4 linked regions of the Diceros bicornis minor genome follow. The protein of the gene in region 2 purifies or fractionates together with the protein of the main gene of each other region. This does not show direct contact. Links are inferred from orthologs where the notes say so. Each region holds a gene or a part of one and is shown on either strand. Other genes may lie near its edges.

The links.
Region 1: the proteins of USE1 (region 2) and NAPA purify together in Homo sapiens (affinity purification with mass spectrometry; 3 studies listed by BioGRID and IntAct, counting the BioPlex papers as one, with this or other methods). This does not show direct contact. The link is inferred for Diceros bicornis minor from reciprocal best matches to the Homo sapiens genes USE1 and NAPA.
Region 3: the proteins of USE1 (region 2) and RINT1 purify together in Homo sapiens (co-immunoprecipitation; 3 studies listed by BioGRID and IntAct, counting the BioPlex papers as one, with this or other methods). This does not show direct contact. The link is inferred for Diceros bicornis minor from reciprocal best matches to the Homo sapiens genes USE1 and RINT1.
Region 4: the proteins of USE1 (region 2) and STX18 purify together in Homo sapiens (co-immunoprecipitation; 4 studies listed by BioGRID and IntAct, counting the BioPlex papers as one, with this or other methods). This does not show direct contact. The link is inferred for Diceros bicornis minor from reciprocal best matches to the Homo sapiens genes USE1 and STX18.

What each region holds. Positions count from the first base shown.
Region 1 is NC_080773.1:22,906,880-22,914,706, reverse strand, and holds the start of NAPA (alpha-soluble NSF attachment protein), read left to right. Parts: upstream 1-4,815; 5' UTR 4,816-4,944; coding exon 4,945-5,042; intron 5,043-7,827. UniProt on the Homo sapiens protein: Required for vesicular transport between the endoplasmic reticulum and the Golgi apparatus. Together with GNA12 promotes CDH5 localization to plasma membrane.
Region 2 is NC_080759.1:5,216,120-5,223,832, reverse strand, and holds the start of USE1 (vesicle transport protein USE1), read right to left. Parts: upstream 3,008-7,713; 5' UTR 2,715-3,007; coding exon 2,613-2,714; intron 2,319-2,612; coding exon 2,269-2,318; intron 2,140-2,268; coding exon 2,061-2,139; intron 1,980-2,060; coding exon 1,827-1,979; intron 1,181-1,826; coding exon 1,168-1,180; intron 719-1,167; coding exon 691-718; intron 422-690; coding exon 247-421; intron 9-246; coding exon 1-8. Other genes in the region: MYO9B (unconventional myosin-IXb), read right to left, coding at 5,122-5,537, 5,657-5,780, 6,416-6,562, 6,883-6,930, 7,361-7,484.
Region 3 is NC_080742.1:12,722,146-12,729,725, forward strand, and holds the start of RINT1 (RAD50-interacting protein 1), read right to left. Parts: upstream 3,006-7,580; 5' UTR 2,896-3,005; coding exon 2,854-2,895; intron 2,407-2,853; coding exon 2,361-2,406; intron 1-2,360. UniProt on the Homo sapiens protein: Involved in regulation of membrane traffic between the Golgi and the endoplasmic reticulum (ER); the function is proposed to depend on its association in the NRZ complex which is believed to play a role in SNARE assembly at the ER.
Region 4 is NC_080747.1:6,965,643-6,973,146, reverse strand, and holds the start of STX18 (syntaxin-18), read right to left. Parts: upstream 3,014-7,504; 5' UTR 2,971-3,013; coding exon 2,803-2,970; intron 1-2,802. UniProt on the Homo sapiens protein: Syntaxin that may be involved in targeting and fusion of Golgi-derived retrograde transport vesicles with the ER.

The sequences.
Region 1 (7,827 bases), on a different chromosome or scaffold from region 2:
CCGGAGGCTTCATCCTCTTTAGGCTAATAGTCTCTCCCCTTCTTTTAATTCCACTCCTCCCACAGCAGGGAGGCTCAGGGAGGGAACAAGTTAGATCCAGGTAGCTCTTAAATCTCAGCCTCAGTTTGGGGGTTTGGTTACATTTGTTAGATAAGGCCAAGACGTAGAGAATCACTGGGAAAATACCTTCAGATCTCCGACCTGTTGGGTCCCCTTCAGCCGGGGAGTCTCTCTGCATTCCGGATTCCGTCCCTGGTCTTGCAGTGACTTGTACATTGTTAGGTTTTTTGTACGTGTCGACTTGTAAATCTTATTAAATTGGGTTCTTGAGCAGCTGTCTTCTGGCTTCCCTGGCCCGTTGATCCAGCAGAGGCTTTTGAGCGCCTGCCGCTCGCTGGAACCACAGAGAGTAGGCCGAGTCCTGCCCTGAAGGAGCTGGGGGCCATTCGTTCATTCAGCAAGTGCCTGCTGTTGGACGTGCTGGACGGTGCCCAATCCACGTGACCGGGACACAGTGACGACAGAGAGACAAAGCCCCTGTCCTCACGGAGCTTGCATTTTGGGGCTGGGAAGGTAGCAGTAATAAATACAGCGAGAAGGTGATTTTAGACACTGATCGTGGCTATGCTTTTGGCCACCAGTAACAGAAGAGTCAGCGCAGGTTTAAGCAATCAGGACGTCTGGTGGGCAGCGGCTCAGCCAGGAAATCAAGGCCTCCCAGCAGCGGCCAGCCTCAGTGTGTTGGCTGCGGCAGCAGCAAGAATCCCTCCTCCCTCACCAGCATCCGAACCTTGGGAGTGCAGGGAGGAGAGCACGTCCCTCCCTTCCTTGTGCCCCTCTTTAAGAATGAGGAAAGCCTGTAGCAGCCGCCAGCAGAAGGCCCCTCAGGTCTTACCAGCCAGAACCGTAAGCCATGCTGTTTCTAAACTGATCCCCAGCAGTGAGGAGGGAGATGGCCACAGCTACCCTAGACATTCAAGATTTGCCTCCACAGGGCTGGCCCAGTGGCATAGTGGTTAAGTTCGCACGCTCCGCTTCGGCAGCCTGGGGTTCACAGGTTCGGATCCCAGGCGCAGACCTATGCACCGCTCATCAAGCCATGCTGTGGCGGTGCCCCGTATACAAAGTAGAGGAAGATGGGCACAGATGTTAGCTCAGGGACCATCCTCCTCAAGCAAAAAGAGGAGGATTGGCAACGGATGTTAGCTCAGGACCAATCTTCCCCACCAAAAAAATAAATAAAAATAAAAAGAGGAACCCTGATGAAATAAAAATATTAAAAAAAAAGATTTGTCTTCAGGACTAGGAAAAAGCCATGTGCTCCCTCAAGTTTGATGCCACCTGGTCAAAACTGTCATTCCGTTTGCCAGGAAGAGAAGAGGAGGCAGGAATGGCTCCTGGGGAGGCAGACCTTGTGACTGCCACAACGTGATGTGAAGAAAGTAAAGCAGGGCGCCGAGTCCCAGGGAGTGAGCAGAGAGTGGCAGCTGGTGTTAGGTGGACGGCCAGGGAAGGAGATCTGGGTTCCAGGCCACGGCACGGCACAGTGCCAGCTCTGCCGAGGGGACTAGCAGAGGGTGTTAGAGAACTGGCTGGCTGCTGTGTGGAGGTTGTAGGAGGCAAGATTACTGGCCTGGAGGGTAGATAGAAGGCTTTAAGGTAAGGTGCTGGTGGCCTGGGGTAGCAATGAAGAGGGACGGAAATGCGAGGATGAGAGATGCATCTTAGAAGCAGACTCGGACTTGTTGACGGGTCACACGTCACGGGGAGAGGTGGTAAGGAAAAGGACGGGTCAAGGTTGGCCTGGTAGATTTGGGTCTGAGCCGCTGAGTAGATGCCATCACCTCAGGTGGGGAAGAGAGACAGTCAGAGGATTGGTTGCACCCAGGTGTGACCGCGTCTGTAATAGTGCATGCTGTGTTCTGACAGACTGGCGGGGGAGCGGGGAGAGGGTAGTGTCAGGAGCTTTCACAGAGGGGCCACACTTAGCTCAGTAAATCTTGAAGATCGGGAGGGGGGAGGGGCAGGGGAGGAAGCAGAGTTTGAAGCAGTTGGGGCATTGCGGTTAAGAGAAAGGGCTCAGGCATCAGATGAACCAGAATTTACATTCTGGTGCCTCTTCCTTCTTTGTGACCTTGGGCAAGTCACTTTCCCTGTTTGAGCTTCAGTTTTCTCCTTCTGTAAAATGGGGTGGAAAATGCTCACCCCCCACGTATCTGTGGAATGAGAAAACGTAAATTACGTGTTTGGCAGGGTGCACCATATGAATGTAGCAGCTACTGTGTGATGAGCGCTCATGCTATCGCTGTTATTGTTTAGGTCCCACCCTGCATAACAGGTTAAGCTTGATGACTCTGGAAAGGAAAGACTCTGGCTTAAAGGGTTCAGCGGTATATTAGTTTATTGCCGCATAACAAATTACCCTGAAATTTAACAGCTTAAAACAAACAGAAGCTTTTATAATAGTGCTGCTTAGAGGGACACGGAACTGAAACTGCTTGTGGTGATCCAGACTCACCCCCAACCTGATCTGTGGTCGGAATACAGTGGCAACCACAAGTGGGTGGTCCAGGAGAGTCTCTGAATGTAAGAAGAGAGTTGGGGGAAGGTTTCTTGTGAATTACCCCCCCTCAGCCCGCCCCCGCTCCCATCCCCAGATACAGCGTTTTCTCAACTGGTGTTCCCGGAATTATCTGCATCCTAGTCATCTGGGGGTCCTGTTAAAAAAAGCTCATATACCATACCCAGTCCCTGACACGGACTATTATAATCAGAATCATTGAGGGTAGGGCCCTAGAACTGGAAGTTTTTTAAAGAAGCTTTCTTAGAATAGTTTTCAGATTTACAGAAAAATTGGGAAGATGATAGAATTCCCATATACCCTGCACCCAGTTTCCCCTACTATTAACATCTTACATTAGTATGGTACATTTGTTACAACTAATGAACCAATATTGATACATTATTATTAACTAAAGTCCATGTTTTATTAACATTTCCTTAGTTTTTACCTAATGCCCCTCTTCTGTTCCAGGATCCCACCTAGGACACCATATTACATTTGGTAGTGATGTCTCCTTAGGCTCCTCTTGGCTGTGACAGTTCCTCAGACTTTACCTGTTTTGGATGACTTTTAAGGAGTCCTGGTCAGATATCTTGAAGAATGTGTCTCGTGTGGGATTTGTCTGATATTTTTCCCATGATTAAGCTGGGAGGAAGACCGCAGAGGTGAAGTGCCCTTTTCACCACATGTTGTTGAGGGTTCACACTATCAACGTGACTCACCACGCTGACATTATCCTCAGTCAAGGGCTGACAGTGTTCATCAGGTTTCTTCACCGTAAACTTGGTCCCCACCCCCCTCCCTTCCCATACTGTACTGGGTGGAAGGAAATCACTGTGCACAGGCCACACTTAGCACACATGAAGAGCTATGCTCCACCTTTTTTGTGTGTGTGTGAGGAAGATCAGCCCTGAGCTAACATCCATGCCAATCCTCCTCTTTTTCTTGAGGAAGACCTGCCCTGAGCAACATCTATTGCCAATCCTCCTCCTTTTTCTCCCCAAGGCCCCAGTAGATAGTTGTACGTCATAGTTGCACATCCTTCTAGTTGCTGTATGTGGGACGCGGCCTCAGCATGGCTGGAGAAGCGGTGCGTAGGTGCGCACCCGGGATCCGAACCCCGGGCTGCCAGTAGCAGAGCACGCGCACTTAACCGCTAAGCCACGGGGCGGGGCAGGCCCAGCTCCACCTTCTTGAAGGTGTATTTACATAAACTATTTGGAATTCTTCTGCACAGAATATTTGTGTATTCTCTCTCATTTATTTATTCATTTATATCAGCATGGGCTCATGGGTATTTTATACACTGGGTTATAATCCAATACTACTTTATTTTGTTGGTCAAATTGTTCCAGCTTTGGCCATTGGGAGCTCTTTCAGTTGGCTCCTGTGTCTCTCTGACATACCTCGTCGTGTGTGTGTGAGAGTGAGAGAGCGCTCACACGCGACGCTTTCTTTCTGGCGCTACAAGATGCTCCAGGCTCATCTTGTGTAATTTCCTGCCCAGTCCTAGAACCAGCCATTTATCCAAGGAGCCCTGGTTCCTTTTATTGGAGAAGGGTATTAAAAACTAAGATGTGGGCACTAGGCATGCTCAAACCTGAATTTTTAACAGGCTCTCTCCAGCTATTTTTTCATGAAACCACAGTTGGAGAACCTCCGCTCTCCGTTTTGTTCCCGTCTCTCAAGTATTTCACTGGCTTTCCCAAGCCAGTTTCAGCCTCCGCCGGCAGAGGGCGCCAGAAAAGGCAGAACGGTTTCCTTCCTACCACAGAGGCCTTCCCAAGAGAAGAAGGACGCGCGACCAGGAGCCGGGGCGGGGACTAAACGCTGCGCCAGAGAACTGTCAAACCCAGGCGGGGCGTGTTTCCCGGCAGGGGCCGGGCACTGTCACGTGAGGGCCAGCGGTCAGCTGACTAGATCCCAAGTTCTCCGCAGAGGTACGACGCGACCCAGGGCTGCTGTTGATTGGTGGAGGAGGATCCAGAAAACTAGCACTTCGGGGCGGGACCTTGACGATGGGGACTACCATTGGCTTATGCAGAGCCACGTGGGCAGTCGTACGCTGCACCGGGAAGAGAGTGGGGCGCCCTATGCGGACGTGTGCGCATGCGTCAAAGCCCGGGGTCGCCGATTGGAGGCCGTGAGTCACGGGGCGGCGTGCAGTGGCCGGTGGGGGCGGGGCCGGCGGGGCGCGCGCCGAGCTGCGAGGCCGCTGGTTGGCCAGCGCGAGCCACGTGGTCCGGGGCAGCTGGGGGTGCGCGGCGGTGCGACGTCAACGCAGCCCTGTGAGCTCCCCCGACCCGTCTCTGCGACCCGGCGACGGCGGAGTCCTCGGAGGGCCGTGCCCGGGCGGGTTGCTGAGCACTCCTGCGGCCGCCATGGACAACTCCGGGAAGGAGGCGGAGGCGATGGCGCTGCTGGCCGAGGCGGAGCGCAAAGTGAAGAACTCGCAGTCCTTCTTCTCGGGCCTCTTCGGGTGAGAGCCGCGCGGAGGGGCGGCCGGGAGCGAGGCTGAGAGGACGAAGGAGTCGTGGCCTAGAGGCGGCCGGGTCGGGACGAGGGCATGCCGGGGCCTGGTGACAGGGTCTAAGGCCGCGGAGGGGACGCAGGCTGAGGGCCGGGCTGTGGCGACACGGTGTGAGGAGAGACGGTCTGGGATGGCGGAAGGGCCTTGGGCTGAGGATACCCGGGCCGAGGCGACACCATCTTGGGACGGAAAGGGGACCCAGGCTGAAGACGGGCCAAGGGGCCAGAGGACTGTGAGGCCTGGGCGGGGACCCGGCCTGAGGGCTTGAGGGAGCCTAGGGGAGCAGCCGGGTCGCCTTTGGAGCTCTGGAGAGCCTGTCTGAAGGGTCCCAGACGGCCGTGGTGGGGCCGGGGACTGGGGACACCTGCCCCAGGGATCGGCCTTCCCAAGGCCTGGGGCGGGGGGTTTGGGTGAACTCGGGGTGGTTGGGTGAGGGGATCCTGGGGGGTGGGAGGTGCCCGGGACGAGTGGGGCCCTGGGTGGTGGTGATGGTGTAAGAGGACCTGACAGTCGTGTGAGAGCTGAGCAGAAGAATGAATCCCCCGGGGTGACGGAGTTACTACCGAGGAGGCCCGGGCTACGGGGCTGGAGACTGATGTGGAGTAGGGGGATGAGTGAAGCCGGCTTGGTTTAGGAAATGGAGAGAGAAAGAGGAGAGATGAGGGAGAGGGAAAGCCAAAGGAGTGGAAAGCTTTTTGTGTAAGGATGGAGTAGGGATGGGGCGTGTGCGCGGGATGACTGGTGTGCTGAGAGGGGGGCCTGAGCGGGGCTGGGAGACAGAACGAGCGCCTGCAGTCTGGTAGACATTTCCCATCAGACTCACATTAGCCTGTAAACTAGTTCTGATGACCGTCCTCCGAGGAATTTTAGTGGCTTAGGAGTGTCAGAAGCCTGGGTTTGAAGTGTGGCTCTGTCACTGACTTCATGCCCTTGGGTAAGTTGTTTGATTTCCCTGTTAAAGGGGATCACTAGTAAAACCTATGTCAGGTATTTGCTGCTAGTATTGAGTAAGAGTGCACATAAAGCGCTTAGAACTGAGCCTGGCACATGGTTAACGCCCTGAGAGTCTTAGCTGTCATCAGCGTCGCTTCCAGGAAGGCAGCGGGTGTGGAGCCTGTACGCTTCTGGTGGGGATCAGGGTGGGAGCCCAGGGGGATGTCTGAGAGGGGTCAGAGGAGGGAGAGACTGAGTGGGAGGAGGAAGGGGGAGCTGACAGGTTGTGGGAAAGGGACTCTGGGCCATGGGGACTTAGCAGAGTTGGGGGAAGGGGCTTGAGGCTCGGGGCGGAGGGAGAAGAGGGGAAGAAGGGAGGACTGGAGGGGGTTGTGTTGCTTTGGGGCTGGGAGGAGAACTGGAGAGGGAGTGGTGGGTCTGTAGAGAGTTAGGAAGAACTGTGGTGGAGGTGGGCAGGGAGTCTGGCGACAGAGAGAGGCAGAGACTGGGGAAGGCTGCGGCCTGGGAGAATCTGCCAGAAGGCTAGGGAAGGGGTCTGGGAGGAGGGCCTGAGGATACGGAGAGACAGTGTTAGGAGATTGGTGAGAAATGAAGAAGGTTCTTTCCAGGAGAGGAGACGGAGCAGCCTGTTATTTGATGTTGGATGATGTTTAGCAAAAGAACTTGAATAACAAGGCTGAGAGTTATCTGGTCTGGAGAGGCATCCGGGGCTCATGGATTGTATTGATTAGGTGGGGAGTGTTTTATTTTAGAGGCTGAGAGTGGAGAGAGGGTATGTGTGTGTTTCCTCTTCCCTCACAAGGGGAGAAGTTCAAGTGCAGTGTTTTGGGGTGGGGCCGAGAGCTCAGTTTTCCGTGATAGTTTCCCTGGGTGGTTTTTGGTGTCGGGTCCCTTTGGACTGGGAATTAGTGTCCTGTTGGTCAGTGGCTGGAGGGAGCAGCTAAGTCAGCCCGCGAGACACATGCCATCTGGTTGGGAAGGCAAGAGTAACACTTGCCAAACGCTAGTAAAGCAAAATTGTAAGGTAACTAAGGCTTAGATTATATCATGTGTGTGAAGTTCCTGAGTTGAGAGGAAGCGGCCTGAACTGGAGGAAGGCTCTTAGGAGCGAGCTGGGCCCCGAGGAACCCTAAAACTAGCAAGTCCTAGTCCTGTGGAGTGGGGGCCTGGGAGAGAGTGCTCGGCAGCGGGAATTGTGCGAACAGAGGTGTAGCGTGAGGGGAGGTTCTACCCGGAATGATGGGGAACCGAGATCCAGATGGACCAGGGATGGCTCCCCAGAGGAGAGGCCTCCATCTGGGAGCATGAACAGGGGTTCTGGGGGTGCCCTCTGGTGGGGAGCGCTTCTCTGGGCAGAAGGGCCAGCTTGAGCAAGGCCCAGATGCATGAAGCTCAGTGTGTGCACGCTTCACACGGGGAGTTCCGTGTCAGCACGTAGTTAGAACAGGCAGAAGGAGGAGGTGACGCTGAACAGGGATGAGGCCCAGTCTCGAGAAAGGGCTTGCACGTGAGGAGGTGGTAGAGAGCATTGAGGATATTAATGGGGATCTGTCTTAGTCTGTTCAGGCAGCTATAACAAAATACCGTAGACTGGGTGGCTTATAAACAACAGAAGTTTATTTGTCACAGTTTTGGAGGCTGGGACGTGCAAGGTCATGCTGCCGGGTAGATTTGGTGTCTGGTGAGAGCCCACTTCCTCATAGATAGCTGGCTTTTCACTGTGTCCTTGCTTTGTGGAAGAGGTGAACTAGCTCTCTGGGGTCTCTTTTCGTAAAGGCAT
Region 2 (7,713 bases):
GACAGGGTCTGCAGGTGAGGTGGGGAGAGCATCAACAGGACTGGGGCCAAGTGTGGCCTCTCCCTACCACCCTGCAGCAAGTCTGCACCTCTCGGCCCTTGTTGGTGCTGTTTCCTCTGCTGAGAATGCCATTCTTGCTTTCTACCAAACTCCAGCCAGCCAAGCCCCAGCCACAATGCCCCTCTGCTGGGAAACCTTCTCTGATGCCCCAGGACAGAGGCTGCAAAGCTCCCACACTCCTCACACCTGGTTGTCCTTCTTGATGACACTCTGGGCGGCCAGTGTGTTGGTCTTGAGGCTCCGGGCCAGGCCTAGCATCTCCTCTGCCAGCTTCTCCTGGAGGTCCTGGTGTCGCTGCAGGATGAGGTCTAACTCGGCCGCCGACTGCTTTTCATTTCCTGGCCTGGGCCCTGCCACCCCACTGACCCCACACATGGGTGGGCAGGTGGGCACGAGGTGGGGTGGGGGAGGGGAAGAGACCAACACGTTCCCAGGGAGCCCAGAGGCTATAGCTCCGGCCACTGCCCTGCTTGGGGCTCAGTTACCCCTTCTTTGCTCTGGCTTCTGGGAACAGCACCCCCAGAAGTGGCTTCTGATGGGCGGTTTAGATGCTCATGGTGGCGCCTCAGGGGCCCAAGGCTCGTCCAGCCCCCCGGCCCCCAGTGCTGCCCAAGGGCAGAGGACACTCACCTTCTCTTCCGCACGTCCAGCTCGGGCTCTGCAGGGAAACAGGCCCGGCAGAAACGAGAGCGGGTTGGTTTCCTGTTGACCAGCCTCCTGGCCACTGCCCGTCACAGGCCTGCCACTCACAATGCCCTTTCCAGTCCTGTCTGCTGCCTGCTGGGCTCCTGACCATGCCTCAAAGCTCGAGCTCAAACGCGCTCTCTTCTAGGGGGTTCTCCTCACCCCCAGCTGGGCTCCCCCGGCCCCAGGTCCCTCCCTGCAGCCTAACTTTGGCCCGTGGGCTGGGAGTTTCCAGCTTTGCTTCCTCTGGGGGCCACCTCCTCTGTCCTAGCCCCCCCTCTAGGCATAACTCAGTAACACCCCCAGGGACACTCTGCCTGGGCTGTGGGAGTGAGGCCAGGCACCAGGGATGGGGGCAGCAAGGACACATGTCTGGTCCCAGGCAGCTGGGCCTCAAGTCCTGTTCTGCTCAGGCCGACTCACCTCCAGAAGAGTCCTGTGGCAAAAAGGGAGAGCGTGAAGTCACCCACTTTGTCATGCCCCTAAACCTGTCCTTTCTGCTCTCAGACACTCCCCACCCATAGTCAGAGCCCTGGGGAAGTCTCATGACCTCTGAGCCTGTTTTTTAGTCTATAAATCGGTAACAACAGCTCCTGTTGTATAATTTTATTTATTTATTTATTTTGTCCCCCAAAGCCCCAGTAGATAGTTGTATGTCATAGTTGCACATCCTCCTAGTTGCTGTATGTGGGACGCGGCCTCAGCATGGCAGGAGAAGCGGTACGTTGGTGTGCGCCCGGGATCCGAACCCGGGCTGCCAGTAGCAGAGCGCGAGCACTTAACCGCTAAGCCACCGGGCTGGTCCAACAGCTCCTGTTGTGAAGGGTTTACCTGATCCACGTAAAGTGCTCAGAAAGACACTTATCCTGTTTTACAGATGAAAACACTCGTCGTAACCGGACACGTCATTTTTGCCTTGTACCCGACTCCTGTTCATTTATCAAGCCCTGATGGCCCAGGGCGGAGGCTATTGGGCTCCTTAGGGTCCCTGCACCTGACAGTATTTGTTGTTCTGGCCAGCCCCAGGCCCTGAACTCCTGTCGCTGACCAAAGGGCCCTCAGGGACCAGGAGAGTGTCCTACCGCACCCAGCAGCTCATCCCGCATCTCGCTGGTGTACCGGGCCCGTGACTGCAGATGCACTGTCTTCGTGGCAGGTATCCGCTCCCGGGCTGTGGTGGGCACGCGGCCAGGAGCCAGGAACTGGTTGGCTAGTGCCTTGTCGGAGGAGGAGGTCTGAAGAAGAGGGATGAGGGGTCACCAGAGGGGCAGGTCCTGGGGGTGAGGAGGGCTGAGGAGGCGGCCGTCCCCGCTCACCAGCTTCTCTGCCTGCAGCATCCCCTTCAGAAAATCCACCTTGCGGGCATACTCATTGATCACCTCGGAGACCGGTTTGCTAGAAGGCGAGAAGAGGACAAAGAAAACCTGCCCACGGTCCCAGTTCAGGGAAGGGTCCAGCAGGAACCGGAGCCCAGGGCTCTACCCCGACCCCGGATTTGAAACCCCAGTGGCCGCCGGCACTCACCTCGCCTGGGCTTTCAAGGCCTGCAGCATGTCCTCGAGGGCTCCCACGTACTGGGGAGAGACAGCGCAGCGTCAGCCCGGTCCCACACCCCCACTTCTTCCCATCCTGCTCAAAGGGGCCAGAGCCAGCAAGGGGCGGGGCTCGGAAGTGGGAGGGGCCAAGCGTCAAGGAGGCGCGGCCAGCGGAACCCCAGAGACGGGAGCTGCAGGTGGACGTAGCGGCGCCGACCGGAAGGGGCGTGGCCAGGGTGGCTGTTGGGGCAGGGGAGTCGGAACCGGTGGCCGCCAGCTCCGGGCCCACTGTCCCGGAGTCAGGCTCTACGCTGCCCCGCGGGCTTCTCCCACCTTCTCCAGACGCCACTCGTCCGGGTCCCTCTTCTCCGCTGCCATCGCCTCGCAGCGGCACAGCAGCCGCACCAAGTTGAGCTCCAGCCTCGACGCTGCCATCACCCCCACGGTGCTACCTCGCCCCTTCCGCCGGCGCCATCTTAAGAGATGGCGGAAGTGCCTTCATTTGGCTTCCTTCCGGTTGGATGAGCTCAGCTCGCTCGCCGTTCCATCTTTCTTTGGGGTGGCAATAATATTTTATTTCAAGGAGAGGCGCCATCCTCGTCCATAGTTACTCAGGGCTGAATCGCCTGCTTTTCCTCCAGAGCATCTTAACCCTCAGGAATGGTTGAAAGGACCAGGTCCTGCGGTTTCAGGCCCACGTACAACGTGTCCTTTGCTCATTCCTTTCCCCCTGCTCAAAGTGCCTCCCCCACATCCACTGCTGCCTGGATTCTTCCCACACTGAGGTTTTGCGCATCCGGCCAGCCTTCCCCGACTTCTTCCGGGGGAGAGGCCCTGGGCTGGCTTAGGGGCCCATCCAATCTTCTGCGGTTGTGAGCTTCCGGGCGCCAGACTCCGTCCCCCGCTGTTTCTGGGCCTGTTTCCTCCCTTGGGGAATGGGGAGTGGGACAGTGCCTGTCTCAAGGGGCACACGAACTAGCCCTGCGAGCAGGAGGCGGGGCCGGGTCACCCCTAACGTTCAGACCCCCGTGAAGAGAAGCCAGTTCCAGCCCACCCAGGTGCCCAGGAAGCCGAGGCCAGTCCCACGAGCCCCGCTCCTGGAGTGGACGCGGTGAGGATGGAGGCTTCACGGGATCGGAGCCTGGCATGCAGCCCTCAGGTCACCGGTGTCCTGGTCACACTGGTGTGCCTAATGTCCTCGCAAAGTACCACGGAGGAGGCCAAACCCAGGATGGATAAAGGGGGCTCCAGAGGCAGATGGGCAGGGTCTGAACCCCAGCCCCACCCCACCGCACCTGTGTGGTCTTGGACAAGCCCCCAACCCTCTGGCATGTGCCGTCTGGACTCAAGTTCTTCACGGTCCCCTGACCCCACCCTCACAGGCCCCACCCGCGAGCCACGTCCCCCACCTGCCCATCTGATCGCAGCCTGGGAGCTCATCTGCGGCTGATGTGTGGGGGCCTCTGGCTCTGCCGGCCCACCAGGAACAGACTCCCCCCCTGGCCCATGGCCCTGCACCTGACGCTTACGCCCCAGCTGAGGAGAGGCTGGTGCTGAAACAGGGCGACAGGAGGCAGCCCCCAGGACAGCAGGCTCCCCTCACTGAATGCCACTCTGCAGGAGCTGCCCTCTCCCCAGATGTCCAGGTCAAGCACCTCCACAAGCCCACCTGCCCAGGTGAGGAGCACGTGGGAGATCCCAACAGCAGCATTTGCTGAGGATCAAGGCAGGTTCTTCCAGACAAGGGGCACAACCCCCTGCCCTGCACCCCTCTTGGCAGAGGCTGCAGGGTGCCCCCACCGAAGCCCCACTCCTCCAACCAGGAGTGTTTTGAGCAGGAGCCACACACAAATCTCTCAGGCGCTTTGTCTTTATTTCACACGGCTCTGGGTGCCTCTTGTCCCAGACCTGTGGTCATGTGTCCAGGGGATACATGTGTCCTGGGGAGTGGGCCAAACCTGAGGGCATCCCTCTGGAGATCCCCAGGCTGCCACTGTTGACCTGAGGGGGACAACACAGGCCTTGCCCTCCCCGCCGGTGAGCGGTCCTGAGTCGCTGGCTCCTGTTCTGCCACACGGTGGAGGTGGGGGGGGTGGGGGCAGTGCCAAGGGTGCCCTCCTCCAGCCTCTGGAGTCCAGGATGGGCAGAGGATGACGGCCACATTGGAGCCTCCCTGGGACGTGAGGTCTGTGGTGCCCCGGGTGGAGGCTGCTCCCCCCCGCTTTGTGTCCTGGCTCAGCCAACAGCCTTGATCCCCACGGAGGGCTCTGGCGCTCCCTCAAATGCACCCCGGCCAGAGGACGAGTCCAAGAGAGAGAAAGGCGGTCATGCGGCCCGAGTGTCTAAACCCCTCGTGCAGGGTCCTGGCCCTGGACCGCCCAGAGCGCTCCCAGCGCAGGGCTGAGCCTCTGAAGCGTGGCGGCTGCGTGGGCTTAGCTTTGAAGACTGATGTCCAGGTTATAAAGGAGATGCAGCGCGTTAATATAAAAGGTCGTACAGACACATATAAAAAACAATTTGGTCTTCCGTTAAGGCTGTTACAGTTTAAAGTTATGTAAACCACGCACAAAAAAACAGTTACTGTAAAAAATTACAAAATGGGAGGTGGGAGATGCTAGGTGGCCCGCCGTGATTCCGTGCTCTGGGTGGGCGCGATTGCGCAGCGTGGAGGCTCAGCGAGGGCGGCCCAGCCTCAGCTGGCCTCTCCCGGCCTCGACCCTGCACTGGGAGCCGTTGCTCCCCCCCACATCGCTCTTGCAGCTTTTCATTCCGGATCCTTCTCGGCGAGCTGAATGCTGGCTCTGGGCTGTCCTCGGACATGTGGACAGACGGCTGTGGGCCCTCAGCCGTTGGCCTGGCCCGAGGTGGGGGGCAGGCAGTAGGTGGGAGGGTCCGAGTACCTTCGCTTGGCCCCAGGTGGCCGGTCGTCCTTGTCCACGGGCTCCTGAGCACCCCTCGCGGGCAGGTGAGCGCAGGGCGTGATATACACAGAGTGTACCTGGTCCGGGCGGCGGGCGGGTGGCTCTCGGCGTCTCACCGGGGCAGCAGCCTCCTGGGGCCCCGGCGCCCGGCTGGGAAGGTGGGAGGGCAGGCCAGGTGGGAGCTTGATGTTCGCCGTGGGCATGATGGGGGTCCGCCGGGGCGTCTTCACTCTGACCGTCATGAAGGACGACGGCCTTCGTCGCGGAGGGGCGGCCGCCGTGGGGAGGGGGCTCGGGGTGGGTACACTGGGGCAGGGGAGAGCAGGCGCAGGGGGCCCTTTTGAGAGACAGATGGCAGGGTTACTGCAGCTTCAGGGCCGCCACATGGTCCCTCGCCCCGGGGCCGGCGGTGGTGGACACGGGAAGGAAAAAAGCAGACGCTACCTTAATACTGACCTTCCGAGGCCCCCCGCCCAGCCCGCTCCTCCAACAGGCTCTCGGTGCTGGCCGACGTCTCCGAGTCCAGGTTCTCCTCATCGGAGCCCCGCGGGTCCAGCTCCGGCAGCCGGTAGGTGATGTCCTCCCTGGGGAGGAGGTCACAGTGTCCGAGGCTGTTCCCATGGCGAAAGACCACCCCACGGAAAGTGCCAGGCTGGTAGGGTACAGAGCAGGCCGTCCTGGTCCTGGATGGTACTCCCTGCCCCCAGCACCCCACTTCCACCCCCAAAGCACACCTGGCCCAAATCACCCCGGCCCTGTGAAGCTGACGGGAAGAAGGTGTCCGGCTGCTGAGGGAAGCCAGGCACCTGGGCCAGGACTGAGCTGGTGAGGAGCTTCTGCCTCAGGACCTTTGCACGTGTTTCCCTCCACCTGCATTGCCCTCCCCTGTTCCTAAGACTAGGGTGACGGGGCGGCCTGGGTCACTCCTATTCTCTTGGCAGCATTTTTAATAACACCCCCCTTCACATCTTGACTGGACAACAAATTAGTCACCCTAACTAAGGCCAACTTCTGGACAAAGTCTGGGCATCACCCCTCTGTCGCCTCAGCTCTCCCACGGTGTGGGTCACCGTGGTTCCCTGTGGTCAAGCATGGGGTTTCAGGACAGCGGCACCCGTTGAAGTGGGTCCTGGACGATGCGAGGAGCCTAGCCTGGCAGCCTCTAAGGGCCAGGCTCCCTGTGGTGGAGGGCGCTGGAAGGGGATGGAGGAACACTTGCTTCTCTTCCTTGATGGACTGGATCCGCTCCATGAGCATCTCCTTCTCGCGGTCCTCGTCGCCACCGGCCACCTCCTCCTCTGGCAGCACGTCCAGCTCCTCCAGGCCGCCGCTGCTACTCACCCGGGCCTTGGGGCTCTTGTTCTGCAACAGAGAAGCAGCAGGTCTGGCCGGCCCCCTGGGCTGGCAGAGAGGGCGGTGTGAGCGGCCTGGGAGATTAGTTCTGACGTGGACAGTGGGCTTAGTGAGGCTTCTCCAGGGTCACGCGGGGAGGGGGTGGCCGGCGCTCTGCTGGTTAGTCGTCCTTCTCACACAGGTGGTCAGCAGGCACAGGCCTCCCCCAGCATGCACTTCGGAAAGGTCAGGACACACTAGGTCTATCCTACAAGGGCCCTGGGCCAAGGGGAACCCCAGCATGCACCGCTGGGGGAGACATGCAGGGCGGCTGCTAAGCGTGTACATACCAGCATCGCCTCATAGGGAGACGAAAACCCCAGTTTGAGAGGCCATGGCTGGGGGAGAGATGAACAGAGGGTGACCACTGGGGGCCACTGACCCTGACAAAGGTGTGCGTCAAGGACACCGGGCCACATCTGACCGCAGGGACAAAGATAAGGGTCCTCCCACAGTAGCCCAGGACCCGCCCCCACCCGCTCCCCCACCCCCCACTCCCTAGTGTGGAGCCACTTCTGCTGTGGGAACGTTTCCTTGTGGGCGGGGGCCCAGGTCAGCAAGGGATGGAGCTGAAGAATGACCCGAACCACTGCCAAGAGAGTGACAGGTCGCCCGCTGCCCTCTGAGAGGGGCGTTTGCCTGAGGCTGGGAATGGGCCTCTAACCCTGCTGCCTTGAGGCCCCTGGCCAGGCTGCCTGTGGCCAAGGGTGTGGGGAGTCTGAGGGGTGGAGACCGCGCCCAACCCCCGAGTCCCGCCCACATGCTCACAGTGTTCTGTCGCAGGAGTGAGAGTCTCCGGATCGCCATGCTCTCTGCTGCCTCCAGCTGGTTGATCTCCTCCATCTTCACCTTGTACTTCCTCATCTGCTCCTTGATCAGCATCTCCACACACCTGTGGAGAAGGCAACTCAGTTACCCTCCCAGGGATAGTGGGTGTAGGGGCCCCTGCATCCAGGGAGGCGCTAGCTGGAGACTGGGGAGCAGTGGCTGAGCAGAGACCCATCTAGAGACCAGGCAGGGCCAAGGACACGGCTGTGGCTCCCGTCTCGGCCCCTCTCACTCATTGTGTGACCTCAGGCAGCTCACTCCACCTCTGAGCTTGAGTCCCTACCTCAACAAGC
Region 3 (7,580 bases), on a different chromosome or scaffold from region 2:
GGCCATGCTGAGGCCGCGTCCCACATACAGCAACTAGAAGGATGTGCAACTATGACATACAACTATCTACTGGGGCTTTGGGGAAAAAAAAAAGAGGAGGATTGGCAATAGATGTTAGCTCTGAGCTGGTCTTCCTCAGCAAAAAGAAGAGGATTAGCACAGATGTTAGCTCAGGGCTGATCTTCCTCACAAAAAAATAAATAAATAAATAAAACTGTTTAAAACAACTGTCACTTATGCTAAAATGAAAATATGACTATCTAAATAGAGATATGCCTAAATGCAAAATGTAACTATCAAATATTGTTCAATTCTTTACGTAAAAATTAATAGAATATATACCAGTGTGTTTAATACTGGGTATGTTCCTCTTCCTCAACCCCTAAACAACAAATTTTCCTTTGTTCTAGTCAACTTATAAGAATTAAAAGCTTGTTCATATAAGAACTAGTAGCCCACCAGTAGGTAGAAGCAAAACTAGCATAAGTCTATGCCTCAACTTCCCAACTATAAACTATAACATTTGCCCAGCCTACATTTAAAGGTTGTAAATGGGACTAAAATCCATGTTTCCCTGACTCTCAACCCAATATTCTTATTTTCTTCTCCTTCAAATATGAGCAGAATTGGCTGGTCTGCATCAAACTTCATTGATACAGAAATCCATCTACTATTATGCACCGGAGTCACAATGTCTTTATTTATTTATCTTAAATAAAATGAGTTGTGTGGTGCACCTGCAGATACACAGAAACAGGGCTATGTGCAGAAGGAATGTTTTGTGAATGCTAAGGTTGCTGTAGCTTAGGGAGTAAATTCTATGTTCACTTTTATTTTTAATTATACTCTTTTGATATAACCCTTATCAAATGACATTCTTCAAAATGACACACTGGTGTTTTAGGATGTTTTTATGTCTCTCTTTTTCTCTATTATTTGTAAAGAGCACTCCTAGTTGCAAAGAAGTTGAACAAGCCACTAAAGGAAGGACAAGGACAAAGTCTACAGTCTGCATCTATGATTTTACTAAAATGACAGCTCAGTAGGCATCAACTCTCTGAGCATCTGAACAAGGTAAAGGTGGAAAAGGGAGGGGTTTCACTGAAAGATATGGGGTACTCTCAAATCCTCCAAGGAAAAGGAGCTGAACTGTGGCAGCTACGACTGTCAAGTACTGTGGACTACTCAGAGCTTTCTCTCTGAGGCCGATGGTATCAGTAGACAACGTGAGGGGCAAGCCCAACTCCTAAATCCAATATGGTAATGTAGACACCCTTCTCTTACCACTACTCATTCCCAGACTATTTGTCACGTTCAGCAGATCCCATAACCCTCTGATGGCATAGCTGTTACATGCTTTTCCCCTTCCTCCCCCAATAAATTTCACTTCAAAAGCCCCTGAAGATTCCTTGATTTCCAAAAGCCTGCCATGCCTAGCTTATTAAAGTAAAATGACAAATGTCCACATCTCTGACATACGCTCCTGTCCTAGGCAGGAATTGGAGGTACTGACCTTTCCCCTCTGCCTTGTCCAGTCCAAGACCCAGGATCCAAGCTATCCTCTGTGCTCTTCCCAGATCAACTTTTTTTTTTTTTAATATATATATATATTTTTTTTTTTATTGATGTTTTAATGGTTTCTAACATTGTGAAATTTTGGGTTGTACATTTTTGTTTGTCCATCACCATATACATGACTCCCTTCACCCCTTGTGCCCACCCCCCACCCCCGACCCCCACTGCCCCTGGTAACCACAGTCCAGTTTTCTCTGTCCATGTGTTGGTTTATATTTCACATATGAGTGAGATCATACAGTGTTTGTCTTTCTCTTTCTGGCTTATTTCACTTAACATAATATGCTCCAGGCCCATCCATGTTGTTGCAAATGGGACGATTTTGCCAGATCAACCTTTAATTGCAAATTCACTGAAGGTAAAGTACAACTAAACAACTATCATTTGACTTCTTTGAACCCAATTAAGGAGGCAGTCATCTCTCCTAGATCATTAGCCCCTCCAAATCCTGATGCTTAATAAATTGTTGCTTCATTAAAATAACCGGCAGGCTCCAATTGTTTTGAAGCCAGTCTGACAGGCAGAACTCCAGTAAAACCACACTAGTTCTTGCACAGGGCAGGAGTCAGGAAGTGCTCTTCTCCAAATCATCCCATAGTTTATCATTTTAGAAAGACAAAAATATGTGTATAATGATAATCAGTAAATGCAAGCATATTGTAGAGAAAAAAGATACTTCATCTAAAAGATAACAGGCTAAGACTCTTCTCGGATGCAGACCCTGGAAGGCTGAGTTTTGGCGAGATGGCTGGGTACAAAGCACTAAGGTGTTTGGGGTCGCTTACTTTTCTCCTCGACGTTTTTCCTTTCCTCACCACTTTCAGAGCAGCACTAGAAGCAGAAGAGGCGTGACAAACACATTAAGACTGAAGTGGTAGATGGAACTCATACAGGGCTCCCAGAGGGCATCCACTGGAGGACTGCGAGGTCCCAGGCCCCTTCCCCTGGGGCCTTCGTGAAGGGCCACGGCCGTCTGACGCAGGTTCTAAAACGGGCCACCTCTCTGGGGCCACCACTGCCATCCTGCCCGTCCGCCAGGGCCACCTCCCCACAGAGATCTGTGTCATCTCACCGGGGTCGCCGGAGCCACTGCATAGGGACTACCTCCCCTGGGAGGTCTGTGCCACCTCACCAGGATTGCAAGGGCCACCTCCCCCGGGCCACGGGAACCACGTCCCCAGGTGCCAGGGTCACCTCACCAAGAGAGTCTCCCCTAGGAGATGTGCCACCTCACTGGGCCACCAGTGTCCCCTCCCCGGGCCACCAGCGCCGCCTCACCGGGGTTGCCGACGCCTCGCCGATCTCGCCGGGCGGGAGCATCCCGCCTCTGCGAGAGTCCTCGGCTCCATGCGCAGCCAGCGTGGCTGCGTGGTCCAGCTCCCGCCAGCGACCAGCACCAGCTCCGCCTCGGAGACTGCGGAGCTGAGTGCCACCGCGACTTCCTCTCGCCGTCTCTCTCGTTTCTTCCTCTCCTCCCAGAAAGGCCCTGCCCGCGCCGCCGCTGGCCGTGCGCGGTGGCTCCCCCTGCCGGCCGGGGGACGTCGGCCGCTCCGGAAGAGGGGGGCGATCCTTCTCAACCTCGGTGAAACATACTTCTCCTCGTTGGGGCCCTTAATGATGGAGCTTGAAGGTATCTGTCCTTCCACACCAGAAATTCAATATGAATCATTTCATTTGTATTTTAGATGATATCCCAGACGTTCTGAGAGTGTGAGGGGGCTTGTTGATCAGCTTTAATGTAATTTGGTCGGGCTGTTTACTTGGGGAATTTCCAATGTCGTTATCTTTGGATCATTCTTTTAAGGCTTATCAGATTCAACTAGAGATGACCCTCCAATTGCCTGCGTGGAGGGTCCAGATCTGGTTGTAACCGTTCTGGGAGCTGAATCGAGGAAAAGGACTCGGCATCTAAGAGGCACTTTGCACAGTGCAGAGACCCCAAAACACCTGTTCTTTGCCAGGGAGAAGGAATAGAGTTACCTGGCAGCCAGCAAGGGGTAGGTAGAGCACCCAGGGATTTGACAACTTCAAAAACAAACGCGAAAGGAGATACCATAGAGACTAAATCAAGTAGCGGGGGTGGGGGCAACCCTTAGAAGAAACAGAAACCGTTCAGTGGGGAGAAAACTTGTGTGTGCATTGTGCAAGATGACATGAGTGGAGCCATATTAAAACAGAGCCAGAGCAGCCATTTCAGAGGAATTGCCTTGCATGGCTTGTTTTCTTTTATCTTCAGAACTGGACCAAACCACCAACATTCCAAAGAAGTCTGTAAGGACAAGGATACCTTGTCTGTAAGAACTGGTGGAACTGGACTTTGCTGGTGCCTAAATCGCTAACCAATCAATGAAGTACAAGTTTAGCGTTTTGTCTGATGATTGAACCTCAGGCCAATCTATGAAGTACAAACCCAGCCTTATCTTATCTAGCACCAATGAACTCTTCTTTAATACAACTCACCTTTCCTCCCTTTTTCCCATAAAAACCCTAAGCCCTCTTCTATAATCAGGACACTGTTTGAGTTTCTACCTGAATCTGTGCTCCCAAATTGCAATTCTTTGATCCCAAATAAATGCTTTGCCTCTTAAACTGGTTTCTGTTTTTGTAGATTGACTATATATATATAAAATCAATATCCTGAGATATGAAATACCATTGCAACCATAAAATAATAAGAGGATACTACTGTAATTTATTTATTTATTTGTGAGGAAGATTGACCCTGAGCTAACGTCTGTGCTAATCTTCCTCTATTTTGTATTTGGGACCCTGCCACAGAATGGCTTGACGAGTGGCATGTAGGTCCACACCCAGGATCCAAACCTGTGAACCCTGGACCTCCAAAGTGGAGCACACCAACTTAACTACTATGCCACCAGGCCAGCCCCAGGATACTACTACTGTATTTAAAAAGGAGTGTTCAGAGACAAAATATATGATATCCGAAATGAAAAATTCAATGAAAATGTTCGAAGATAAATGTTGGGAAATATCCTAGGGAAAAAAATCAAAAGGACAAAAAAATGGAAAACAGGAAAAGAACAATAATAAATTAGAGGACCACTCCAGGGAGTCCAAAATCTGAAAAATAAGAATTCCATAAGAAAAAAACAACAGGGGTTAGGGAAGGAGTGAGCATCAACAAAACAATTCAAGGAAATTTCCCTAAACTAAAAGCCCTAAGTTTCCAGACTGAGAGGGCCCACTGAGTCTGCAGCACAATGGATAAAAGTCGACTCACCCCAGGGGCCGGCCCGGTGGCGCAAGCGGTTGAGTGCGCGCGCTCCGCTGCGGCGGCCCGGGGTTCGCTGGTTCGGATCCCGGGCGCGCACCGACGCACTGCTTGGTAAGCCATGCTGTGGCGGCGTCCCATGTAAAGTGGAGGAGGATGGGCACAGATGTTAGCCCAGGGCCGTCTTCCTCAGCAAAAAAAGAGGAGGATTGGCGGATGTTAGCTCAGGGCTGATCTCCTCACAAAAAAAAAAAAAAAAAAAAAAAAAGTCGACTCACCCCAAAGGCTCATCATTGTGAAATTACAGAACACTGGGGACAAAAAGAAACCTGAAGCTTCCAGAGAGAAAAACAGATCACTAACAAAGGATCAAGAATCAGCATATCTTTCAGTTTTTCAGCAGTCACAAAGAAAGCTGAAAGACATGGGAGCAATTCTATACAATTTCAAAAGGAAATTTATTTCAAACTAGAATTCTGTACTTGATTAGTAAACTACCAATGAAGTGTGGGTAAAGAATAAATGTATGTTCAGACATTCAAGATTTCAAAAAATTTCCCTTTCATTTGCTTCTTTCTCAGGAAGCTACTGGAAGTTGTGCTCCATTAAAATGAGGGACTAAACAAAGAAAGTAGAAAACACAGGCTATAGGAAACAGAAGATACAACACGGGAGAAAAATGAAGTATGATACCCTGACAACAACTGTGCACTAGACATCAACTGGTGTAGGTTAGAAGGTTCCAGAAGAGACTCCTTCAGAAAGATGAAACTGATAGAACACCTATCTATCTAAATCTCTGGAGGGAGAGATTTAAATGATCATAAAGAAGTTTGAGCTTGGCTTAGTGATGAATAGTAAGCCAAAATAAGATAATCATTAACTACAGGAAAAACAAAAAGCTGAGCAGAAGAGAAGTAATCATAGTATACTATTTTGCCCAAGATGTGAGCAATGTTTACCTAGTCATAATGAAGTAAACACAAATCTATTTTTTAAAAAAGTACAATATAACTATATCGGGCAGATAAAGGGATGGGAAGTGTGGTGGGGGTGGGGGAACAGATGGGAGAAGGAAGAAGAGCTAAATCCTCATTTTCCATTAGGTGAAGTCAATAGGCAATGCCTAAAAGTGAAAAATGAAGAAATAGCAATACAAACATTTTATATAGAGAAATGAAGGTAAATATCAAAATAACCATTGAAAGAGGTGAAATGACTGCCTTTGAGGAGGGGGAAACAGGTAAGGGGAAGAGTGGAGATACAGTCTCTGCTGTTTCATTGCAAAACTTACAAGGTTTCTACAGAATTGTTTGACTCTAAATCATAGACGTGTATAACTCTGATTAAAATAAAAACTAAAATTAAAGAAGTAAAAAGATTGCTCTAGACTCAAATTTTTGCTTCTGAAGATTTCACTCCCTGGTAAAGGAATTAGACATGAAAATAAATAATTTAAGATTGAGTGTGACACCAAACCTCTTAATCTCAGGTCCCTGTGCCCAGTGCACAGGAAAAGCCAATCACTGAGACACCAGTCCTTGGAGATAGAGACAGGCTTATTGGAATTGGCCAAAACAAGAAGGCAGGAAAGCAAGTTCTCTCAGATCTGCCTTAACAAAAGAAGAAAACAGGGGATCTTTACAGGGCTAAGGGGCTGGCAAGGAGGATTTTCAGGGAAACAAAGAGGAAGTCTGTGTTTCTTTCACTTCAGATAAGACCTTGAGCAACCAGACTTCTTGGTGTCACCGGCAGCTGGGGTCTGGTCATCTGGTGGTCGTGAATTCCTTAAAGGCATTCTTTTACTTCTGCAAAATAAGCTCATAAATTCTCATGACCCTTGAGTCACCCCTTTGGTTAGACAAGAAAACAGCAAGTTAGCAAGCTATAATTACGTGCATGCCATGGAGCAAGCATTTGGACTCCATAAATACATCTAGTGGAGACTAAGGTTATTTATTAACTTCTTTTCATCTGTGGCTGTATTGGGAACGAGGTCGGAACATGTTGGGAACATGTTCTTATGGAATATTTACAGTAACCCTCAGGTACCTGGCTTCAAGTGCAGTAGGTTCAACAATGGAAATGTTTGCAATGACTGAGGGAGCACAGAAAATAGTTACTCTCTGGCGAGAGGAGAGAGGCATCTAAGATGGATGGAATACTAGGCAGTAATATGGACGAAACAAGAGATAAATTGTGTGTGCTGGGCACATAGCAATCCATAGTGCTGGTGTGGAGTTAAAAGCAAGATCCAGAATATTATACATGATATACATGTTAGGATGTATTTTTTTTTGGGGGGGTGATGAGGATTGGCCCTGGGCTAGCATCTGTGCCCATCTTCCTCTCTTTTATATGTGGGACACCTGCCACAGCATGGCTTGACAAGCAGTGTGTCGGTCCACACCTGAGACTCGAACCAGCGAACCCCGGGCTGCCAAAGCAGAGCATGCGAACTTAACCACTACGCCACTGGGCCAGCCTCGTAACATTAAACTGTTAGATGTCTATCAGAAGGAGTTGGAATGGGGAAGAGGCTTTGAACATTTCTGTATTTTTTTGTGTGTGTGAGAGGAAAATTAGCCCTGAGCTAACATCTGTGCCCATATCCCTCTATTTTGTATGTTGGTCGTCACACCACGGCATGGCTTGATGAGTGGTGTAGGTCTGTGCCTGGGATCCGAACCCACGAACCCAGACCGCCAAAGTGGAGCATGGCTGACTTAACCACTATGCCACAGGGACAGCCCTCAAGAAGATACTTTTTAAA
Region 4 (7,504 bases), on a different chromosome or scaffold from region 2:
AGGAATGAGAAGAACTGGAATTGAACTAGGTAATACGTATCTTAGAAATGATAATAAATGCTTCAAGGAAGGCATTCAAGAAAAGGCATTACTATAACTTGCTACATTTCCTTAAGTCTGACAACCAGGGCTCAACTTGAACCAGAATATGTGTTCCTAGTATGACCAGACTTTTATGTATAAGGAATTCAGGCCAAACAAAACAACAGCCAGACTTCTGACACATCTGACTGTGGTTAAGAGCAAAGGACACCCCTCACTAGCTCTATACTAGTTACACTTTCCATGAGAGAGAGAAATGGTTGCAAGAACAGGAGGTACTACATAAAGCAATTGCAACATAAAATCAAAATTCCTCAAAAGAAGGCATGTGTTCCCTATGTCAGGAAGGGCAGTGGCCCTGAACAACACAGCCCATGTCCCTACTTAATAGACTCCCCAAGCCTTAACACCTACCCACATCAATAAATACCAGAACTGGAACTTTCAGTGACATGCATCTAACCCTCTGACAAAAGCACAGAGTTATTCTCAAACATCTCTGACGAGCAGTCATCCCGCTGTTTAATTACCTCCAGTGACAGGGAACTCAGCACCCCAGGGTCCTGTTACTGTCCCTGAGGCCTATTAACCCAAAGGCCTAAAGTACCATCTCACTACTCAGGGAGAGGCCTGGGGCCTAAGTGATCACAGGGCTCTCTCCTCACTGCTGGCCAATCCAACGATGCTTCTCGTCTCGGCCACTCCCAGAGCCCCTATCCCTGAGCAGGACCCAAAATTAGCACAGTGTTAATAAATCAGTGATTTCAGGGTTAGAAAAGGCCCTCCAAAAACCAAAACTGTGATCTTCATACCACAATTCCAAAGGAGGAACCTCAGGAACAGCCTGGGCCAGACTCGAGGGAGGCGCACAGAGAAGTCCCAGTTTCCCTCCCTCTCATTTCAACCTGAGAACCTTGATCTGCTATATATCGGAGATCATAGCAGTTTTTTTTAAAAGTCTTCTGCTTTTTAAGGGGGAAAAAAAGGAGGAGACTATTGCCGGGTAAATAAACTAAGGCCATAAAACCTGCTTCATAAGATCATGGCTAATCATCGCAGGGTTAAGACAACAACCTGGTGTCTTCACCCCTTCTCTAGCGCTCTCTCTACCACATAACATCTGACTGCCTCCAGGGCAAAGTCCAAACTCCACACTGTGATAAACAAGGCCCTTCAAGATTTCCCCTGCCTACCACTCCAGTCCAGTTTTCCTGAGTGTCCCCCAAATCAGCCACACTCAAATGCTTATCCAACCAATTCATTAACACTGCGAAGCGGCACATTCATCCTCATTTGGAGTAGCTCACATAACAAGTTCCTCCAAAAAAATCTGCAATGTCATTACTGTCTAATTTGTTGGTACTTTAATGGGTAGACACACATTGAGTATATATAAATTCAGCTAAATTGAGCATGAAAATGACCTATTTCCACATCTTTGTGTGCATACTCTTCTCTTAGCCCGAGGCGCCCTTCTCCACCCTGTCTGCACTGGAACCAACTACTCCTCTTTAGAGATTTGTTTCAGACATTATCGCCTCTCTCGGCCCTCCAGCAGAATTGGCCACATTCTCCTCTGTGCCTACACAGCATCTACAAGGCTGTATGGTGCTTGTTTTGTTACTCGGTCTCCCCCACCATTCCCTTTAAATCATGTTATTCTAACACAGTGCTGGTCAAAAAATAGGTGCTTGCTTAACAGATGCTTATTGATGGACTGAATGTATTCATCTGGCCCAGTCCCCCTTCTGATGCTTGAATATCCTCTGCAAACTGCCACTTGTTAATTCACGCATACATACACTCATTAAAAAATATCTCAGTGTCTACAAAGTATCAGGCTCTGGACTGTGTGCCAAACTTAAGGGGATTTACCACGAAATTAATGAAGTTTAAGCTTCAGGGTTTACACCTCCCAAAGCTCTAAACCTTTGTGATTCTGTATTTTCATTTCTTAAAGAGGACAGGCAGAACTGCATAAGCTTCAAGCTCCACAAAAACTAGATCCACCCTTGGTGCCAAGGATACAAAAGTGAACGAGGCAAACATTTTCTCTCTCCCTTTACAGAGTTTCCCGTTTAGTGGGGAAGACAGACAACCATTTGTTCATTCATTCATTCAACAAACATTTACTAAGCAACGCCATGAGTCGGAGTCGGGCACTGGGGCTTCTGACGTGAAGCCAACACTGTTTCTGCCCTTAAGGAAAAGGTTCCTGCTCCCCTGAACGAAAGCCTGCTGTGTTCAAGGCACAGAAGTAGTTTAGATGACGCTAACATGGAGTGTTTGTGAAAGATTATCCTTAACCAGTCTCAAGACGCACTGATCCCCAACATGAGCCCTAACCTGCTGCAGGAGGCGAGGGGACGGGAGAGGTCAGCTGGACACAACATGTGATCTCCACGCGGGGGAAGGGGAGAGGGCCGAGACCAGTAAACAGGAGAGGCAAGTACGCCGCGGTCAGGGCCGCGACAGGAAAGCAGAGGAACGCGGGGGCGTTTCGCTGGCGTTCAGGTCTGCAGCGACGGCGAGCTCAGCAGCTCCGCAGCAGCGCGTGAGCTCTGCCCACACACTTCCGCGCTCCCCACCGCGCGTCCCCAGTCCCCGAGACAAGGCTGCGCCCTTTCCGGGACAGCTGTCGGCCCCCCGGACCAGCTCTCCGGGCCCCGCTTCAGTCCAGGCGGCCTTCACACAACGCGCACGGGACGGGGTCCGGCCGCCCCCCGCTCCGGCCCGCCGTCTCCATAGCAACCCGCTCACCACTTCGCGCGCCCGGCTGGAGAAGTCGCCCTTGGGCCGCGGGCTCCGGCGGAACAGCTCGTCGCGGCTGCCGTCAGCCCCGCCGCCCACCGCCACTCCCAGCGCTTTGTTTCGCGTCTTCACGGTCTTGACGCTGGCCCGGAACAGCAGAGTGATGTCCACCGCCATGACGACCCGCACTCACGGGCCCCGACCCGGCCGGCCTACGTCAGCAGCCGGCGACCGCGGCGCGAGCCCGGCCCCCGGCGGACCGTTCCGGCTCCGCACGCCTCCGCACGCCAACCGCGACGCGAGAAGAAAGGTTCCGGCCTCCGCCGGGCTACCGCGGCCAGAGCAGAAAGGTTCCGGCCTCAGCGCACGCGCGTGGCGGACCCCCGCGGCGCCCGGACCTCGCGGCGCGCACAGCCGCGCCCCTTCTCCCCCAACCCCCCACCTCTGCGGGCTTGGCCGCGCGGGCAGGTCCACGAACCCCCCGCCCCCGCGGGCCGGTGTAGGGCGTGTGGGCCGCGGGAGCGAGAGGACCAGGAAGCTGACCCCTTCTCGAGACTCCCGCACGGAGCGAGCCGGCCGCGGGTGGCCGGAGGCGACTCAGCATGACCTTTGACCTCAAGGACGCACCTTGTGCGGGACGGAGTTCGTGGACCGTGACATCTAGATGCAATGCGTGCTAGGACAAGCAGGTGTGCATGGCACAGAGCTGGAGACCGGAGGCCTTTCATTTTCACCTTTCAGCCCCCCGAAGCCGGTACCTTCCTGAGAATTATTGAGAGTTAAATGAGATAACACGCGTGAAGTGTTTTGGCTTTGCTTGGCTCCTGGTGACCAATAAAAGTTAGATACCTGTTGTTAATAACATTGTTGTCCTCGTAATTATGGTGGGGAAGGGTTCCATAGAGAAGACTCACTCTAGAGAAGGCAGATTTGAAGGCTGACCAGGAATTTATCAGATGGAGACAATGGCGGAATTTCTGTTCATCCTTGATGTATAGTTTTTAAATATACCATCTTAAGTGGTAGTTATTTAAGTTGACTGCAGGGTAGCCAGTGAGTCCTTTGTACGTTTTGGTTCAAGGTTCAGATTTAATTCAAGATCTCATTGATTTCATCGTTTGTTTTTTTGATAGTGGGTGCACCGCTGGAATATGTATTAAAACAGTGGTTGTCAAAGCGTGGTCGGCAAGATAGAAACTCTTCATAATCCTAAAATGTTACTTGCCTTTTCACTCTCTCTCTCAGGAGTTGTGTACAGTTGAGTGTCCCAGAGGCTGTGTGCCTTGTCACATTGCAAAACACTGAATGCAGAATGGCTGTCTTCTATTAAGCCAGACTTTAAAGAGATTTGCAAAAACGTAAAACAATGCAGCTCTCACTAAATTGTTTTGTTTTGGAAATGTATTTTTTCACAGAAAGATACCATTTATGTTACTATGTAATGGATTTATTTTTGTTTTTAAAGGAATGAGTATTTTAAATTTTTGTTTTAATTTGTAATATGGTAAATATTGATACATAAAACCATATAAACCGAAGTTGTTTAGGGCCCTTAATAACTTTTGAGTATAAAGGAGTTCTGAGACCAAAATTTGAGACCCACTGTGTTCAAGAAATAAGTTTATCAGAAATAGATGTCAAGAAAGTACACATGTACCTGAAAAGAAGAGAGAAAAATGTTATTTAAAACCCAGCTGTAGCCACTTCAGCCTTCCTGTATGAGGAAAATAAATTTCCATACAGCTTTCTTCTGCCTACAGAGTAAGAGGGAGAAAACGAAAAAGAAATTAGAAAATCTCTGCCCAGGATTCTGTCTCGCATAAATGGTCCTTTGTTTTATGGAGACATTAATGGGTCTTTAGCTATGCATAGGTAAGCCTGGGGCAGAGTTGAAGGAAAGAGAGTTAAATTGCTCTGCATAATAAAGTGAACAGGATTGAATTAGGGGGAGGAGGGGGAAACCAGAGCCCAGGGAGGGGGTTCAAGAAAGGAGAGAGTAGTTCTTTGGGAAGAGTTTTGAGGGGGTGGCTGAGCTACACCAAACCTTCAGTGAGTAATGCCTTGTGTGGGTAGTGCGTTTGGTGCGGTTAGTTTTTTTGTGTAAAAGGTTGGGGAAAAAAGTGTAAGTTTTCTGTCTGGATCTGTAAAAGCAGAGAAGATTGTGGAGATGAGACCCAAGTAAACTCAAAACATCAAGCTGTAAAGGCACAAGTGACCGCACGTACATAAAAGTCCTAGAAGAGTCACAAAGATCTTGAGGAGGCCATTGGACTTCCCATAGATCGTGGGGTATGAGATTTCACTGTTTTTCTCTCTCTCTTTTAACCTCAAAGAGCAAAGCAACAAGTTGACACTGGACTAGTAACTATTTGAAATCCCATAAAGCTGAGAGGGGATGTGGATGAAAAGCAAGAACAGAAGTGTCACGGGAGTATACTACAAACTACCAAGTTTGATGTAGTACAGAAATTATGTTTCATTGGTAATAATGTTTCATTCATTAGGCCAGGCGCTCTTCTCTTGAAAAACAGTAATGCATGTTGGAATTCCTGAATATAGCTCCCTATAACCGCACCTTCCATACAATCAAGATAAATGTAGGCAGCTCAGAATTATTTGGGGACTCTCACAGAAGTCATTAAATGCAGCCTCCATCAAAAAGAGGGTATGCTGCACATCCAGATGACCAACCCATGACAGACATGTGCTGTGAGAAATAGACTTCTGCTGTCGTCAGACTTTGTCATTGTGGCATCCTTTAGAGGGGTTGGTTTTATAGCCGTACCAACTGGCGAAAGTTGGCGTAAGCAGGTATTTGCTGCATGGAGGGTGTCCAGTGCCTGGAAATGTGAATTCTTGCAGGGCAGAATGGGGAGACCACAGTTTTCTGGGTCCATGGAATCATAGATTTGCCACAATAATACAGTAACTAGAGACCCTCTGTGATAGTCTGTTTTATCGTTCACTGGTACTCATGGCCCCTCCTTGGGGGAGGATTATAGTTCGTTGACCTATAGATGACTAACTTGGCTAGGTGATTCCTTTTAGCTGAGAAAAGTAATGTGTGTTGGTTCGGGGCAGCAAATTTAAGAGCTAACATGTGGTTCACCATGCTCTCTTTTCCCTCTGCCATAGCAACCCATAATGTTCCAATGTGCTACCAGCCTGGGTCCCTGAGTAAAGATGACGTGGAGCACAGCCAACTAAGGACGTGTGCTGGCAGTGAGAGATGAACCTTTGCTCTTGTGGTCCATGGAGACTTGTGGTTGTTTGTTACTGCAACGTAATTAGCATATCCTGATTGATACAACGCATATCCAGATATCTGCCAAAACAAGACTTTTGGGTGCATTCTTCACTTACCATCACTACAGTGTCATCTCTCAGTAGGTAAAGGATGGAGAGGAAGGAACAGTTAGATTACACCTAGATCTAACCAATAGAAAAGACCTGGTTGGGAGTGTTAGAATAATAGAAACCCTGCAAGCCTGGCCATGCCATGGCAGAATTCACGGTGCAAGAGGGGAGGACTTGGAGAACATGTACTTTCACTGTAGGAAGTGGCCTGAAAGAAATTCATCAAAAAAATTTTTTTTCTCAGGGGCTCTAAAAAGGACCGTGACTCTAGGGACAGGAAGCTCAAAGAATCAACTTTTGCTCCTAAGAAGGAAACTAGCTAAAGAAATCAGGGTGATGGAGAAATTGGAACCCTTGTAAACTGTTGTTGGGAATGCAGAATGGTGCAGTCACTATGGAAAACAGTATGGAAATTCCTCAGAAAATTAAAAATAGAACTACCATATGATCCAGCAACCCCACTTCTGGGTATTTATCCAAAAGAGTTGAAATCAGGATCTCAAAGAGATAGCCGCACTTCCACCGTCATAGCAGCATTATTCACAATAGCCCAGACATGGAAGCAACCTCAATGTCCACTGATGGATGAACGGATCAAAAAAATGTGGTATATACGTACAATGGAATATTATTCAGCCTTTAAAAAAGGAAATCCACTATGCAACGAGATGGATGAACCTTGAGGACATTACGCTAAGTGAAAGAAGCCATTCACAGAAGGACATATACTGCAGGATTCCACCTATATGAAGTTTCTAAAATAGTCAAACTCATAGGAGAGACTAGAATAGTGGTTGCCAGGGGCTGGGGGGAGGGAGAAATGGGGAGTTGCTGATTAGCAGGTGTAAAGTTTCAGTTATACAAGGTGAATAAGTTCTAGAGATCTGCTGCCCAACATCATGCCTATAGATAAAATACTGTATTGTACGCTTAAAAATGTGTTAAGAGAGTAGATCTCGTGTTGTATTCTTACCACAATAAAATAAATATTTAAAAAATCAGAGTGGATTTCTCCTAGGAGCTTAGTTTTGAAACGGATGTGCAGAAGAAGCGGGGAAAGGCAAGAGGCAAACACAGAAGGTTGTCGAGGCCCCATCCTTCCAGGTGCCGCCTTTGTCCCTCCACTGCCACCCAAGTACATAGAAGAGGAGTCACCACATTCTTCATTCTTACTTGATTCTTGGCTTGGGTTCTGAGCCCCTCATCCTGACCTACTGGCCTATTTCATGCTTCTTTCTATCTTCTCCCACCCAGGGGAGCTAAATGTTGCCCCTCAAAAGATAGGTCCACATGCTGATTCTTAGAACCCTTGAATGTTATATTATTTGGAGAAAGGATCTTGGCAGATGGAATT